2 linked regions of the Callithrix jacchus genome follow. The protein of the gene in region 1 interacts with the protein of each later gene in a biochemical or structural test. Links are inferred from orthologs where the notes say so. Each region holds a gene or a part of one and is shown in the gene's direction. Other genes may lie near its edges.

Region 1 (8,619 bases):
GCCTGGGCAACAGAGCAAGACTCTGACTCAAAAAAAAAAAAAGAGATGTATTTCAATATATAAATGAGGCACAACTACCACTGAAATAACATAGCCAGACATTTGCAAGTGTAGTTCTGAACAAATCAATTTAGCTACATTCCAGGAAAATTTAGGGTACACTTACAGTAATCGTTACACTGCTCACAAAGATTTCCAGTTCTGCTTTTTCTAGACAGAAGTAGGTCTAAACTTCCCAACTCCCTAGAAATTAAACGTGGCCATGTGATTTGTCATTCAAGGCTAGTGCAGGTAATGTTTATGCAAAACTCCGAACAGGGCCTGAGAGACTACTATGAGTTGGGGCAGAGTACTCACCCCATCTACATTGACATGTAGCACAATGGGAAATGAACTTTTAGGTTAAGCCATTGAGATTTGAGGGTTACTTGTTACTGAAGGTTACTTGTAACCTTGCCTGATAAATATTGAAACTGTTCTGTGCAAAAAGAGTTTATGTTTTTCTGCAAAATGAAATTCAGTTCCAGGCTCTGATCATTATAAACAAGCTTTTCACCTACATAAATGTCCAGCAGCATTGGAAAGTCAGGAAGGATTCAGGACAATTCTGTTATTCTAGACGATTTTCATCCCTGTCTACCCACACCCAGTAAACACTAGAAGGATGCCCTCAATCTTTATACAACTCAAACACCAACTCCACAAATTCCCAAAACACTCCCATATGAACTGGCCTTTAGGGACCAGACATATCACAAAAACTAGTGCTGTGGGCTGGACCAAAACAGGTCCAGGGAGCAGCTGGGCTTCTAAAGAGGCAACACAGTTCACTCCCAATTGTTTGGTGCCATCAGGGAATATACCATGAATTACCAAATCTTCTAGTGATTCCAGGGAAAGCTAAAATGCAGATTCTATGTGAAATCGTTTGATTTCTCAATATTGGCAACAACTTTTAAAGATTTTTAAATATTCTGGGAACCAAACAAAACAGTTCTGCTGGTTTGGTGTGGCTCATGTTGCCTCACTTTGCAAAGTGTTAAGTGCTAGTGAACTTTTTGTGTTTTTTTGAGACAGGGTCCCACTCTGTCGCCCAGGCTGGAGTACAGTGGCCATGACCTCCACTCACCATAGGCTCGACCTCCCGGGCTCAAGCAAACCTTCCACCCTCAGCCCCACAAGGAGCTGGGAGTACAGCTGCCCCGCCACCGGAGCCAGCTAATTATTATTATTATTGGTATTTTAGTAGATATGGGGTTTCACTATGTTGGCCAAGCTGGTCTGAACTCTTGGTGTCAAGTGATCCACCTTCCTCAGCCTTCCAAAGTGCTGAGATTAAAGGTGTGCGCTACCCCGCACAATCGGAAAAAAAAAGTTGTTTTTTGAGACAGTCTCTGTTGCCAGGCAGGAGTGCAATAGCGCGATCTTGGCTCACTGCAACCTCCGCCTTCCAGGTTCAAGCGTTTCTCCTGCCTTAGCCTCCCCAGTAGCTGGGGCTACAGGCACGCACCACCATGCCCAGCTAATTTTTGTATTTTTAGTAGAGACAGGGTTTCACCATGTTGGCCAGGATGGTCTCGTGTGGGGATTGCTTCCGTGTGAGGCCCCTAGGAAATGGGCCTCAACATACGGTGAGCTTGAGCCCGGACACAGATCCCTGGTTGGGGGAGTCGAGCTGAGGGAAAGCAGGAACTGAGAGAGGGACTACGTTATTCAAAATAATTAACAGACATTACTTTATGGATATGAGGACATGGGAAGCATTGTGTCTACTTTCGGCTTCTTATGGTTTATTGCTTGATTGTGTCCATTTTGGACCCTTGTTACCTTCATTGTAAAATATTAACTTAAGTATTTACACTTGGTAACTTACTTATCATAACTTACTGGGTGTAACTGTAACTTACTTACCATAACTTACTGGGCTTGACTGTAACTTACTTACCTTGACCTATTGGGTGTAACCTACTTACTGGGCGTAACCTACTTACTGGACTTAACTTACTTACTGGGCGTAACTTAGAGGGTGTAACTTGCTTACTGTAACTTAAGTACATTGATCTAGCATAAACAACTTTGACTTCAGAAAAGTATATAATGAAACGTATTGCAAAAATAAAATTGCTGCTTGGACATAGCCTAAGCAAGCCCTCCAGACCCCGCTTTTCTCTTTTCTTTCCCTTCCGCGCACTCTCTCCCTCAGGTTGAACGAGACATTTAGTTGGCGGTCTCGCGGACTCCCGCAGGTCGGCAGCCCCTCGGCAGACATGCCGGACTCCAACAGTCTCAATCTCTCGAGCTCATGATCTGCCTGCCTCGGCGTCCCAAGGTATTAGAATTACAGGCGTGAGCCACCGCGCCTGGTCAAAATTTTACTCTGCATTTAGTGAAATTCTCTTCTTTTCCAAGTGAAGAAACAGATTGAATAACTCTGTCCAAGTGTATAGTGACTTACACAGGCCACATAGTTGTATACTGTAGTTAGTGACAATCGCTAACATCTGCCATGTGGTCCTTACTGCAAATCTCGTTCGTGTGTGTTGCGGGGGAAGAGAGAAAAAGAGGGGGGAGGGGGAGAGGGAGACAGAGACAGAGAGGCAGACAGACAGACAGACACACACACATACACACACGAAGTTTCACTCTTGTTGCCCAGCCTTGAGTGCAATGGCCAGATGTTGGCTTACCGCAACCTCCGCCTCCCAGGTTCAAGCGATTTTGGGAGCCTGCCTCAGCCTCCTAAAGTGCTGGGATTACAGGGATGAGCCACCGTGCCCGGTTGCAAATCTTATTTAATAATGAGGTCAGCTTTTTGTTATCCCACTTAACTAATTAATAGGAGAAGCCAGCTCTGATTTCCAGTGCACTATGGTGCACTCTTTCCTGCCAAGCCGTCGTAGTCATTCGATTAAAAAAAGAAATTCCTGCTTTCCTGCCTCGCCTGTGCGTTTCCTTAGTCGCCCTTTCAGGGCCTGTTCTCATGAGTGCCGCAGAAAAACGACGAAGTGAAAATACAGAACATAAAATGAAAATTTAAAAGAGGAAATGGTGTCACAAGGAAAACGAAGGCCAGGGGACCCCGTGAAGCGCCAGGCAGGGTGCACAACGGTCCTGGGAGAAAGTTCAAGAAGAACTTCCCGCGAACAGGTCCCGCCGGCGGCCAGGAATGCATGCACTTCTTACGTTATGATTTGGACTTTACCGAACCTCTTGAAGCGGAAGGAAGGCTTGGCAGTGAGGAAGTCGAATCCGGCAAACCAAAGAGAAAGGCGGTGCCCAGCCGCGCCCGCTCGCCCGCTGGGTCACGTGACACGGCCAAGATGGCCGACCGGGTAAGAGGCTGCCATGTGAGTTTGGAGCCGGAGCCCGGGCCGCAGCTGGCGCCCGGGTCAGAGCTCGAGCCGGAAGAAGAGTTCGAAGTTGTGGATCGAAGCCAGCTGCCTTGCCCCGGCGACCTGCCTAACGCATCGAGGCGGCGGGAGGCGGAGAGCTGGTCCGCGCCCATCCTGACCCTGGCCCGCAGGGCCACGGGGAACCTCTCGGCGGGCTGCGGGAGCGCGCTGCGCGCGGCCACGGGGCTGGGCGGCGGGGACGACGGGGACGGCGCGGCGCGCGCAGGTAGGCTTGGGCCAGGTCTGTCCCGCGGACCCGCGTGTCCCCGCTGGCCGCCGGCGCGGGCGCGGTGGGGACCAGGCTTGGAGGGCACGGCCTGCCCGGCAGGTTACGGGAGCTGTTGGTCGGCGGGCGGCGCCTGGCTGTGCGTGGGTCTTTACCCTGGCGGTTAAGCCGAGACCGCACCCCTGCAGCCCCGCGTACCTGAGCGCGCTCCCGCACCCGCGCTTCTATACTCACCCACTAATTAGATGAAGGACCTGTGCGCGTGCAGGCTCCGGGACTCTGTAGTAACTCCACACACGAAACGGAGCTGGCACTCTTCTGCTTTTCAACCACTCGGTGCGGTGAGGGTGTGGGCCCTGTGCGCAGCGGACCCAGCAGTGCCTCGGTTCACCAGCCGTACCTCCGCTCACCTCTGGCTGTGAGATGGGGATTTTAAAGTCACCCGATGATCTCTTAAAGACGTTTTCAGCCCCTGTAATGAATAGAGTGCCAGCATATCAGTGACAGTAAGATTTTGATTTAGCCCTCTAACTCCAGGCATCCAGAGCTGTGATGTCCAATACAGCAGCACGTATATGTTTTGTTTGTTTTGTTATTGTTGGGTTTTTGTGTTTTTTTTGTTTGTTTTCGAGACAGAGTCTCGATCTGTCAGCCAGGCTGGAGTGCAGTAGCGCGGTCTCGGCTCACTACAACTTCTGCCTCCCGGGTTCAAGCGGTCTCTGCATCAGCCTCCCAAGTAGCTGGGATTACAGGTGCCCACTACCACGCCCGGCTAATTTTTTTGTGTTTTTAGTGGAGACGGGGTTTCACCACCTTGGCCAGACTGGTCTTGAACTTCTAACCGTGATCCATCCACCTCAGCCTCCCAAAGTGCTGGGATTACAGGCGTGAGCCACTGTGCCCGGCCAGCAGCACACTTAGTTTAAATGTAAGATTAAAATTCTATTGAAAAATTACATCTCTCAATTTTTTTTTCCCGAGGTGGAGTTTCACTCTTGTTGCCCAGGCTGGAGTACAATGTTGGGATCTCGACCAATTCTCCTGCCTCAGGCTCCAGAGTAGCTGGGATTAGAGGCATGCGTCACCATGCCCAGGTAATTTTTTTTTGGAGACAGAATCTCATTCTGTCACACAGACGAGAGTGCAGTGGCTTGATCTCAGCTCCCTGCAACCTCAGCCTCCTGGGTTCAAGCAGTTCTCCTGCGTCAGCCTCCTGAGTAGCTGGGACTACAGACATGCCCACAGTCGGCTAATTTTTCTATTTTTAGTAGAGATGGGGTTTCACCATCTTGCCCAGGCTGGTCTTGAACTCCTGACCTTAGGTGATCTGCCTGCCTCGGCCTCCCAAAGTGCTGGGATTACAGGCTTGAGCCACTGCACCTGGCCGTCGCCCGGCTACACTTGTATCTTTAGTAGAGACAGGTTTCTCCATGTTAGTCAGGCTGGTCTCGAACTCCCGACCTTAGGCCACCCCCCCCACCCCCACCTTGGCATCCCAAAGTGCTGGGATTACAGGTGTGAGCCACCATGCCTGGCCGAATTGAATACTTTTAAATTGGAATAAAAATTGAGTGCCTGGATTACAGCGGCCACATTTTAAGTACTCGGTGGCCTTTGTCTGGCCAGTGGCTACTGATATGGGATAGTGCAGCATAGAAAATTTCCAGCTTCGTAGAAAATGCTGGGACAGAGCCAAGGAAAGGCTGTGGTGCCTTCCAAGGAGCATCATAGCACACCCTTGAGGTTTCTGATTCCTCCTCATCCACTGGTACTTTAGCTGATTACTTCAGGTAGTGATTGTGAGATTTTCAGTGGTTAAGAATGATTAATTAATAAAGTTAAAAGGCTGACTCGTTTTGAGATCCTGGCAGTGGAAAGTAGCATTAGAGGGTGATGAGATTCTGTGCAGCCCGGGAATCAGGTTCCCACTAGCTTGACACCTATTCCCAAGACTTTTTCACACATCAGTGGATGCTGGATTGCATACTCATTGACAGTCAGTACTGAAAGTCAGGCATGACATCTTCTGGGGGCTCTTAGATTTTCATGGCAGGAGTAAGCAAATAATAAATGTTAGTTCTTCCCTGATAAGTAAAATTTCCTTCCTTTAATGCAGAATCAAGGAAAAAAATTAAAAAGATAAAATGAAATGTGTCTGTACGTAGCACAGAATAATAAGTATTTGCTGAAAAAAATGCATATTTGAAAAATACCTGTTTTCCATCTATGGAAGTGATACAAACAACAGCCACCACTTATATTATCCTTCCAAGGTGCCAGGCATTAGTCTTTTTTTTTTGTCTTTTTTTTTTTGAGACGGAGTTTTGCTCTTGTTACCCAGGCGGAGTGCAATGGCACAATCTCGGCTCACTGCAACCTCTGCCTCCTGGGTTCAGGCAATTCTCCTGCCTCAGCCTCCTGAGTAGCTGGGATTACAGGCACGCGCCACCATGCCCAGCCAATTTTTTGTATCTTTTTTAGTAGAGACGGGGTTTCACCAGGTTGACCAAGGTGGTCTCGATCTTTTGACCTTGTGATCCACCCACCTCGGCCAGGCATTAGTCTTAAATCTGTACAAGTATTCATTTATTCCTTACAACAACCCGATGTGATAGCGGGACTAGCTTCATGTGTGTACGATCAGTGCAGGCTTTGATCACTGTGGTCAAAAGGGCCAGGTACTCAGAAGTGTCCCATGCTTGAAATTCTTAATAATTTTATTTTTGAATTTGTGGCTTTTGAGTGAAGTCAGTCCAATGGGACAGGTTCTCACAGCTGACCCACTTGAGCTGCCCTGGGGCTTCTCCCTACCCTCCCTGATCCTACTCTTGCCCAGGCATCACTGGGGTTGCACCTTCTGAATCTAAGGGCAGGGTGGTGGGTACCACAGCACATTAGGCAGGCAGGTGGACAGGGGCCTCTCACTCGTCGCATCCCTGCAGGGAAGTTGCAATCCATTAGGGCTGTGGTAAGGGGATACTGACTTCTGCACTTTACTCCGGGCCTGGAATTTTGCACTGGGCCTTGCAAATTATGTAGATGGCACTGAATGATGAGTACCAATATTATCCCTGTTTTATAAAGAGGTAAACTAAATTAAAGAGAAGTAACTTCACCAAGTGTAAAATGTCAATGTATATATACCATATGGATTTAAAAAATTAATTTAAGGTAAGTATTAATAACTGCCACTCAATCTAGCAAAAACTGTGACCATGGCTTACAAAGGCATGAAATTCAGGGAACTGCTGAGTAGAGCAGTGTGGCTGGTCCCAGAGGTCACCAGGATTTGAAGCCATCAGGTAGGACATGAGCAGAGACAGGGAACGAAGAAGGGCCAAGGACAGCACACTCTGCAGCAGCCCAAGAAAAGCAGTTTGGGAGAAAGACAGTGACACCACTTCAACCAGGGCCAGGCCCAAGACTGACTCATGATCTCTTCCCCGCTGATCTGCCTACACAGCAATGAAAACAGGCAGGACTTTCAGAAGGAGCAGTTTAGGAGCAGATATTGAATGTGAACAGCACTCTTGCTGCATAACATTTTTGTCAGTGGTAGAGGCTAAAGGAAATGCTGTGGAATGTTTTGAATACTTGTTTTAAAATGTCCCATGTGGGGTCTGGCATGTGATTGCATTGTCCAAGTTATCCTATTTGGTTTGGGGATTCTTTTTTAAGGTAATAAACGAACATGAATTTTTTTTTTTTTTTGAGTCGGAGCCTCACTCTGTTGCCCAGGCTGGAGTGCAGTGGTGTAATCTTGGCTCGCTGCAACCTTTGCCTCCAGAGTAGCTGGGACTACAGGCACCTGCCACCACGGCCAGCTAGTTGTTGTGGTTTTGTTTTGTTTGTTTGTTTTTTTGTATTTTTAGTAGAGATGGGGTTTTACTTTTACTGTGTTAGTGAGGATGGTCTCGATCTCCTGACCCTGTGATCCACCCGCCTCGGCCTCCCAAAGCGCTAGGATTACTGGAGTGAGCCACTGTGCCTAGCTAATGAACATGAATTTTAATAATCAAACCACACAAAAGAATATTCAGTTGAGCGCAGTGACTCAAGGCTGTAATCCCAGCACTTTGGGAGGCCGAGGCAGGTCGATCACTTGAGGTCAGGCATTCAAGACCAGGCTGGCCAACGTGGTGAAACCCCAACTCTACTAAAAATACAAAAATTAGCTGGGCATGGTGGTGCACTTTTGTAATCCTAGCTATTCAGGAGGCTGAGGCAGGAGAATTGAAACTGGGAGGTGGAAGTTGCAGTGAGCGGAAATCGCACCACTGCACTCCAGCCTAGGTGACAAGAACAAAACTCTCTCAAAACAAAACTGACAAATACTGAGTCTTCCTTCCCAGAAAATTTCCCCAGTACTATTGTATCTTTGGGTGTTTCTGCACATAGTACATGTGCTTTCCTTTCTCAACACTGGCTATTTTTACACAAGCAATTAGGATGTACACACAAGGAATAAATCTTGCTTTTTAGAGTAATGCTTCCCAAAGGATGAGTAACAAAAATGCATGTTATAAGAATTAACATGCTGGCAGGGTGTAGGTGGCTCACACCTGTAATTCCAGTACTTTGAGAGGCCAAGGAGGGAAGATTGCTTGAGCTCAGGAATCTGAGACGGGCCTGGCAATTTATTTGGCAATTCAGTAAGTGTAGAACTTCGTGATATTCTGTGTGTCATGTTAAACTATTATTAATGAAGCTTAGAGATGTGAATAGTTTGGCCAAGGTCACAAAGCCAGTAAAATTGAGAGATGGAACCACTAAAAGATTGCTCCAGGTTTAATTTTCTATGACTCTAACTTAAGTACTAACAGGACCAGGTAACCCATGGTAGGGAATGCACAAGATAGCAAAACACTGCAGGCAGCTCTCCCAGAGATAGCGTCATCCAGCACTGATTGCCAGGAACACTAGTCTTAACATTTTTTGCTATATAACCCCCTAATAAAACTCCAACTCTTTTTTTTTTTTTTTTTGACCCGGCATTTCGTT
Region 2 (7,868 bases), on another chromosome or scaffold:
GATACTTCTAAGTGGATTTCTGGCCAAAGGATGATTTGGATTATTGTTAAGATTTTTAAATATACTGATTACGTTCCAAAATGTTGGTACATTTCCGCAAGCAGTATGTATGAAAGTGTATACCTTCACATCTGTACCTACATGTTTTGAAACTAATCATTTATATGTCTGTGTAATTTTATTCAGAAAGATGTCTGATTCAGTAAGTGGAAACCATGCATTCTATTTTTTGTCACAACAATAATAAGTGTTTAATACGTGTTCAGTAACCACTTAGCTCTAAATGTACTGATATGAAAATATGTCCATGATTTTGTTGAGTGAAAAAAATATGCAGAATTTTACAAGATTGCATGCCCCATTTTAAAATAGATTTTTCACCTTGACTGGTGAAAAATGGTATGTTTTCACAGTGGTGAAATGGTATATTTCCACAGTGGTAAACAATGATATGTTTCATGTTTAGGAGATGAGATTGAGAAATCCCTTATTAAAGCAATATTAAGCATATTAATATTTTTAAGGGGCAGTTTAATACATGGCACAACAATTGTGTTTACTATGCATTTAGTAAATATTTCTCTTGGCAGCAAGGGTAGTCTATGGCTAAATTTTACATGCACTAATAGTAACAGTGTTACTCTAAATTTTCAGTGTAATTATTCTCCCTCTTTGATTTTTATTTTATCAGTCTACCTGTACATGCCCAGAATAAGCTACCTTAGATGAGAAAATCGTGGTCTTTGGAATCAGGCCTGGGTTCAGGTTCTAGGTTTACCACTTACAAACTTTAGAACACTGGCCAAATTAGTGAATTTCTCCAAACCTGTTTGTTTAATTTTTTGCATGGACTTAATGACTGCAGAGTTGTGAGAATTCAATAAGGATTATATAGGACAATACAGGAAAAAGTAGTCTAGATCATTACATGGTTTGTTCTCAAGTGTTCTCTTAAGAAACTTTTTCTAAATAGATGAATTATAGTATTTTAAATTAGTATTGCTAGTATACCGTTCATTTATATCTATAAATTCTGACCGGTGCATCCTCTCAATGTAATTGATGTATCTTATTCAAAATATGAAATTAGAATTAAGGGAGTGAATACTGCAGAGCTTGATGAGATGCTTGATCTCATAATCATGTGGAGGAGGCACGTTGGTAGAAAGGGCAGGATGGTGTAGTGGTTAAGAGGGGATCTCTACAGTCAAAACTGTCCTAGGTTCAGTACAGACTTGGTTGTGTGACCTGGGCATGTTACTTGTTGATTCTGTTTCCTCATCTGTAAAATGAGGATAATAATTAACTATGTTATAGGGACAGTAGTAAGGATTAAATGAAATTGCATGTAAAATATTTAGCACACTGCCTGGCATATGTCAAGTACCCAATAAATATTAACTGTAACAATTGTATTTGTTATTAGTTTGCAAATTGTTGATTGTGTGTTTAATGCCTGTTGTCTAAGTATGTAGTACTTTTTTTTCCCCTAAAGGCAATAAAGATATTTTATTTACATACAAACTTGATTGAAATACTTTTTGGGAAATGTGAAATAAAGTGAATTTTAATTGTCCTGGTAGTTGTATACAAGTTATAGAATATTACCAAGATTTTTTTTTTAATTTATGGAGATTGTAGTGTTAAGTGGGCTCATGTTTTCAAAGAGTTTGAACTAGACCCACATTTCTTGTCCTTGTTTTTTTTTAGACTTAAGAATTCTCTAAGTAAAGCAAAAGCACTGTTAAATAATAGGGGAAGAACTTTTTTCCCTTCCAAAGTTAAGTAAAAATATATTTCTCACCTTAGCAATGGTATGTTTTATGTTCAAGAAATAAGACTGAGAAATCTTTTTTGTTAAAGTAACTTTAAGCATATTTAATATTTGATTATAATTCTACTGCAGATACTTTTGACTGAATGTATTAATATCGATAAACAATGGGAATATATTTAAACCTAGACAGTATCTTAGAATAAGAAAGGGAAAGACCTGTGGTGAGTGTTGGTGGCTACAGTGTTAGATGTTTTCTGCCTTTCTTGTTTACTGAAATCAGTTAAGTTTGAGTTGTTTTCCTTTAATTCTGCTTTTTATGGGTTTTGTAATTTTTTAAGAAATTTGAGCAAGAAAAAAGTGTGACAGAGCGCTGTATTCAATCTGAAATAGTGATCATTTCTTTTATTTGGAAATAGTTTCTACTATATGAATGCTTATAATTTTAAAATACATTTTCAAAATTAGTTATTTCATATTTAATGTGAATGTATGATAATTAGCAAGTATACAAATTAGTACAACTAAAATTGGGTCATAATTTTATGATTAGTCTTTAAAGCATTTGAAGTAGAAATTTTGGATTATTAGAAGTCATAGCTTTAACATAAAATGGAAGGAGCAAAGTATGTACAGTTATAACTTTTAGTTAGAAGAGGGAAAGAAATTAGGAACATTAAGGAGAAGCACACAGGAGATTCAGTAACTTGAGGGTGACTAAGTGATTACTTTTACCCAGGTTTGAATGGGGAAAGAATGTAGAAGAATTCAAAATTGATTAGAAGAAAAGAGTCTGGGAAGAATTCAGGTTAAGAAGTTAATAATCTTTAAATTAATGTAAGAGATTATTTTTTCCCCTTATATTTGGCATCTGGTTCAGATTCGGTAAATAATCCAGACCAATTTTAGTCTCAGGACCAAGTTCATTCTTAACAGTTTTGAGTCCCTAGTGCCTGGAAAAGGGAATAAAGTTGTGACGTTCAGAATCAGAGTTAAACTAATTAGAAAAACTCCCTTTCCTGAAAGAACTGGTTAAGGGAGTTTTCTGTGATGTAGGAGACTGATTATAAATGTGTTACAACATGCCAAACTGGAATGGGTAGCAAGGCTTCTACTTTTGCTAAATGTAATACAGATAGCTAAGTGAGAAGACTCTAGTGTGTGAAGTGATTAATACTTTACTGTAATTAACAACTTCCTCTTCCCTTATAATAATAATTTGCTTGTTTTAAATATACTTTCTACAGGTTAAATGTAATTAATTATAGAGAATTTTTTCTTGAAATATGGAATATAGTAAGGTAATAATTTCAGTAAATAAATTTCTCCAGTCATGTTAAGTATCTGGCTTGTGTAATGTGACATTGACAAAAACACTAAAAGCCAGACTTAAAAATACTGTCAGATTTTTAAAAATGGGGTTAAATCGTCATATGTATAAATAATTTTTGTCTTAAGCTGAAAGCTGGTTTGAGAATAAACTTTATTGAAAGCTATTATCAGTTTTAGAATTCATCCCCTTTTTTCTCTCTAGGACCCAGCCAGTGTCTTAACATTCAGGGCATTCATTTCATTAAGTTGGACAGTTTCGTTGTTGTTGTTGTTGTTGTTGTTGTTTTGTAGGAGAGAAATTAGAATGCTTTAGGTTAAGTCTATTTGAGAGTAAGAAATGGGCAGTGATCTTTTTGAAATATCTTCTAATACCAAGCTTTCAAATTTTTCAACCGTAAGTACAATTTTATGACCTTATTTGTCTCAGTCCCTAGAATAGTATATAGGAAGCACTTACTATATTGTTACTCTGGCCGGGCACAGTGGCTCATGCCTGTAATCTTAGGACTCTGGGAGACTGAGATGGGAGGATTGCTAAAGGCCAGGAGTTCAAGATCAGCCTGGTCAACAGTGAAAGTGTAAGAGTGAGTGTGTGTGTGTGTGTGTGTGTTAATCTGCAAGTCCTGTTGAGCCATATGAAATTGCCAATCAAAACTGACTTGAAAAATCTATAGGAAGGACAGTTTTGTATGATTTAATCTAGTTCCAACCTTGATTTGGAAATTATATGATTGTGCTGTCTTTGGATGCTCTGCTAACTATTGATTTAAAGTAGAGTAAAAAAAGTTGCTTTGTATTTATTAAGTGGTTCCATTTTGTTTAAAATCAGAGTTCTGAACAAGTAGGTCGTTAGTAACTTACTTGATCAGTTAACAGGGAAGGGGACTTTAAGGGGAGAGGAGACTATTTACAGTGATATTTAACTTAAATTTATAAAGATTTTTTTTGTTTGAAATTGTTCAGAGTACTATTAGATATTTTCTAAAGTGAAATATTGGAGTTTTGGTATAAATGGTTTCTTATATTGCTGTGGATAGCACATGAGAATGGTGTAAGCATCTTTCATTCAAGATCAAATTGTGAAATGCAATTTTATTCTGACTTACTGTAACCAACATTTATTTATATTCAGTCTCCTTTATCCACCTTTAAAGGATAGCAGTGACCTATTTGAATAACTTGTATATACTTTCCTTCTGAAATAACACAGATTTCTTTGTTTTTAGTGCCACCATGGCAACTGCACCATACAACTACTCTTACATCTTTAAATATATTATTATTGGTAAGTTTATTTAACCTATGCTCTTGTTCCCGAAAGAACGTTAACATACAAAATATTTATTTATTTTTGCATTAGCAGTGCAGCTTTTGCACTGTGTCCCTGGATACTTCTTTGATAAAGTGCTGGGTACCTTGTGAAGTGATGTTGGTTGTTCTTGAGGGCTGCTTCAAAACTTGTTAATGCTAGGAAGTATCAGTGTTTTTCCCAAAATATTATGAAAGCTCTCAGATCCCCCTGGGTTCCAAAAATTGATAGAGAATGTTGTTTCATTTCAAATCAGTTGTGTAATATACATAAAATATAGTATTCCTCTTAATTGGTATTTTTTTTCTTAAGTTTCAAGAAGGTTTTGCTCAAATTGTCTTAATGCTATCTATCCAAACATAATTATAAAACTACATTTGAAAGTGCACATGCTTTTCAGTGAACAATTTGCTTTAATTTTGAACTTAAATGTGTCTTTATGTTTCCTTGATCAAGGGTTAACATTGCTATAGTACAGTCAGAGATGACATCTTTTCTCCTGGGGTATTCATGTAATGCAGATTCTTTTCTTTCATAGACTGTTGAAAGAAGTTTAAGACAGGGACCTAGTGAATCAGACTCCCAGAACTCAGTTTGTTATTTCTGCTTGTTACATGCTACCCCATTTGTCACTCTTTGGAATCTTTTGCTTCTGTGCATGAGTTAAAGGAAAAATAAAATAAAATTTTGAAACAGCTCAAAGTAAAAAATACCATTAAAAAATAAGCACTTCAAGACCAGGCGTGGTGGCTCACACCTGTAATCCCAGCACTTTGGGAGGCCGAGGCGGTGGATCATGAGGTCAAGAGATTGAGACCATCCTGGCCAACAGGTCTCTTCTAAAAATACAAAATTAGCTGGGCATGATGGTGCATTCCTGTAGCCCTAGCTACTTGGGAGGCTGAGGCAGGAGAATTGCTTGAACCCGGGATGCAAGGGATTGCGGTGAGCCAAGATTGCGCCACTGCACTCCAGCCTGGAAACAGCGAGACTCTGTGTCAAAAATAAAAAATAAAAAAAGCACTTCCCAGCTCGTGGTTAGTTATTAACATAATAATTATAATTTATAACCGGATTTTTTCACTGCTAAAGATTGGGAATTATAATAGTCCATTTGTGTTTCACAGTGAAAACTTTTGAATTGTTATAAAGTAGAAAAATAAAAATTTGTTAAGTGTCCCAGAAATTTCTGATGTTATATGGTAAGGAATATAGCAGTCATTGTATAACATTAAGAAATGTCATTGGCACCTGAAACTTTTTTTTTTTAAACAGGGGACATGGGAGTAGGAAAATCTTGCTTGCTTCATCAATTTACAGAAAAAAAATGTAAGTTGAATACAGGAGGTAAAACATTGTTTTCTTTACTGTCATATTTCTACTTTTTAAAAAGTGTCATTTTCAGTGTACTTCATGTATTTAAAGATATCCTTTCCCTATATTTGCACTTTTTTTTAAATGGGTACAGATAAAATGAAATATACCAGCATATTTTAGTGTTGATTTTTATACACATTATATAATCTGATTCACTTGTTTTGACTTCTTCATGTTAAAAAGTTTTTAAAAATACGGCCGGGTGCGGTGGCTCAAGCCTGTAATCCCAGCACTTTGGGAGGCTGAGGCGGTTGGATCACAAGGTCAAGAGATAGAGACCATCCTGGTCAACAAGGTGAAACCCCATCTCTACTAAAAATACAAAAAATTAGCTGGGCATGGTGGCACGTGCCTGTAATCCCAGCTACTCAGGAGGCTGAGGCGGGAGAATTGCCTGAACCCAGGAGGCAGAGGTTGCAGTGAGCAGAGATCGTGCCATTGCACTCCAGCCTGGGTAACAAGAGCGAGACTCCGTCTCCCAAAAAAAAAAAAATAAGTTTTTAAAAATACATTAAAAATGTCAAACATAATCTCCTTTTTATTCTCTGACTTTCTGTATTAAGAGAAATTTGCAGCATGTATCATTTGTTAAATAACAGATTTGAAATACTTATAATGGAATTCTTTCTATTCTTTCTTGGGTGATAGAAGGGGCCAATTTGTTGTAACTGATATGCTAAATATAGTTGAAAACGTTTCTGTATAGTTGAAAGTATTTGACATTTTTGTGCTGCTTACTTACCACAGAGGTTTGATGTAACATTTTATGAAGTGCCCAGTGGTCTATGTCCTTGTACTGGAGAATAGTGGGTTTAGGTTTTAAGTGGCTTCATTATAAGGAAAGGACTAGTAAATTTGTTCTATTGGTGTAGACATATATAACTAATATATATAACTTGTATTATAAGAAGTATCTACTAGCTAGCTGTGGTGGCTCACTTCTGTAATCCCAGTAGCGCTTTGGGAGGCTTACATGGGAGGTTTGCTTGAGCCCAGAAGTTCGTGATTACAGTGAGCTCTGATTGTACCACTGCATTCCAAGATGGGTGACAGCAAGTCCCTGTCTGTAAATTATATGTATATATATGTAAAACATGATGATTTTCTTCAAGATAGATATTTTCTGGGATAGGAATCTGTTTGACTAACAAATCCAAGAGCCCTAAGACCATTGATTGATCTGTTATAGGTAATGATTATAAGAAGGCTAAATGGTATCATATTGACAATGTGAAGAGTTTATTAAAATCCTTATTTTTACTTAGCTAATTATTTTAGTTGAGGGGTCAGCAAACTGTGGCCAGTGACCCAGTCACTGCCTGTTTTGTGAATAAAATTTACTGAGATACAGCCATGCCTGTTTTATATATTGTCTCTGGCTGCTTTTCTGCCTCGGTGGCAGAGTTGATAGCTTTTGACAAAGATCTTTTGACCTACAAAACTTAAAATATTTTCTGCTTGGTCCTTTCCAGAAGTTTGCTGACCCTGATTTTAGTTCAGCCACATTTCTCTGACTTCTTACTTCTAGGTCTTTGTTAAATTTTTTTTTTCCAGTGGTAGCTTAAGTCTATTTATAGCCTTTAAGTATTAGTAAATAATTGGCTTATTTAGTGGATTTCCCCACTCTAGGCTTCATTTGAAGTTTTCTGAAAATTGGGCTATTACTTTTTTTCCTCCCTAACAGTTATGGCTGATTGTCCTCACACAATTGGTGTCGAATTTGGTACAAGAATAATCGAAGTTAGTGGCCAAAAAATAAAACTGCAGATTTGGGATACGGCAGGACAGGAGCGATTTAGGGCTGTTACACGGAGCTACTACAGAGGAGCTGCAGGAGCTCTTATGGTCTATGATATCACTAGGTAAGAGATTAATAATTTTTCAATCTTTATACTGGAAAAATAAATCTACTTTGGCCATTGTTGAAGTTTGTAATATGACTGTAAATGAACTTATTTGGTTTTTATGGTTTCTTCTCTAAGTTACCATGTAAAACTTGATATAACACATTGATACTCTTTTACGAAAGTTGGTATGACTGTACAAAAATTTAGCGAGATGTTGTGTAAAGCTAAT

Evidence for each region.
Region 2: the proteins of RUFY1 (region 1) and RAB14 form a complex in vitro, tested with the Homo sapiens proteins (2 studies listed by BioGRID). The link is inferred for Callithrix jacchus from reciprocal best matches to the Homo sapiens genes RUFY1 and RAB14.

What each region holds. Positions count from the first base shown.
Region 1 is NC_133503.1:72,109,530-72,118,148, reverse strand, and holds the start of RUFY1 (RUN and FYVE domain-containing protein 1), read left to right. Parts: upstream 1-3,306; 5' UTR 3,307-3,320; coding exon 3,321-3,618; intron 3,619-8,619. UniProt on the Homo sapiens protein: Activating adapter involved in cargo sorting from early/recycling endosomes. Regulates retrieval of proteins from endosomes to the trans-Golgi network through interaction with the dynein-dynactin complex.
Region 2 is NC_133502.1:169,592,131-169,599,998, reverse strand, and holds part of RAB14 (ras-related protein Rab-14), read left to right. Parts: intron 1-4,332; 5' UTR 4,333-4,339; coding exon 4,340-4,391; intron 4,392-5,690; coding exon 5,691-5,744; intron 5,745-7,476; coding exon 7,477-7,654; intron 7,655-7,868.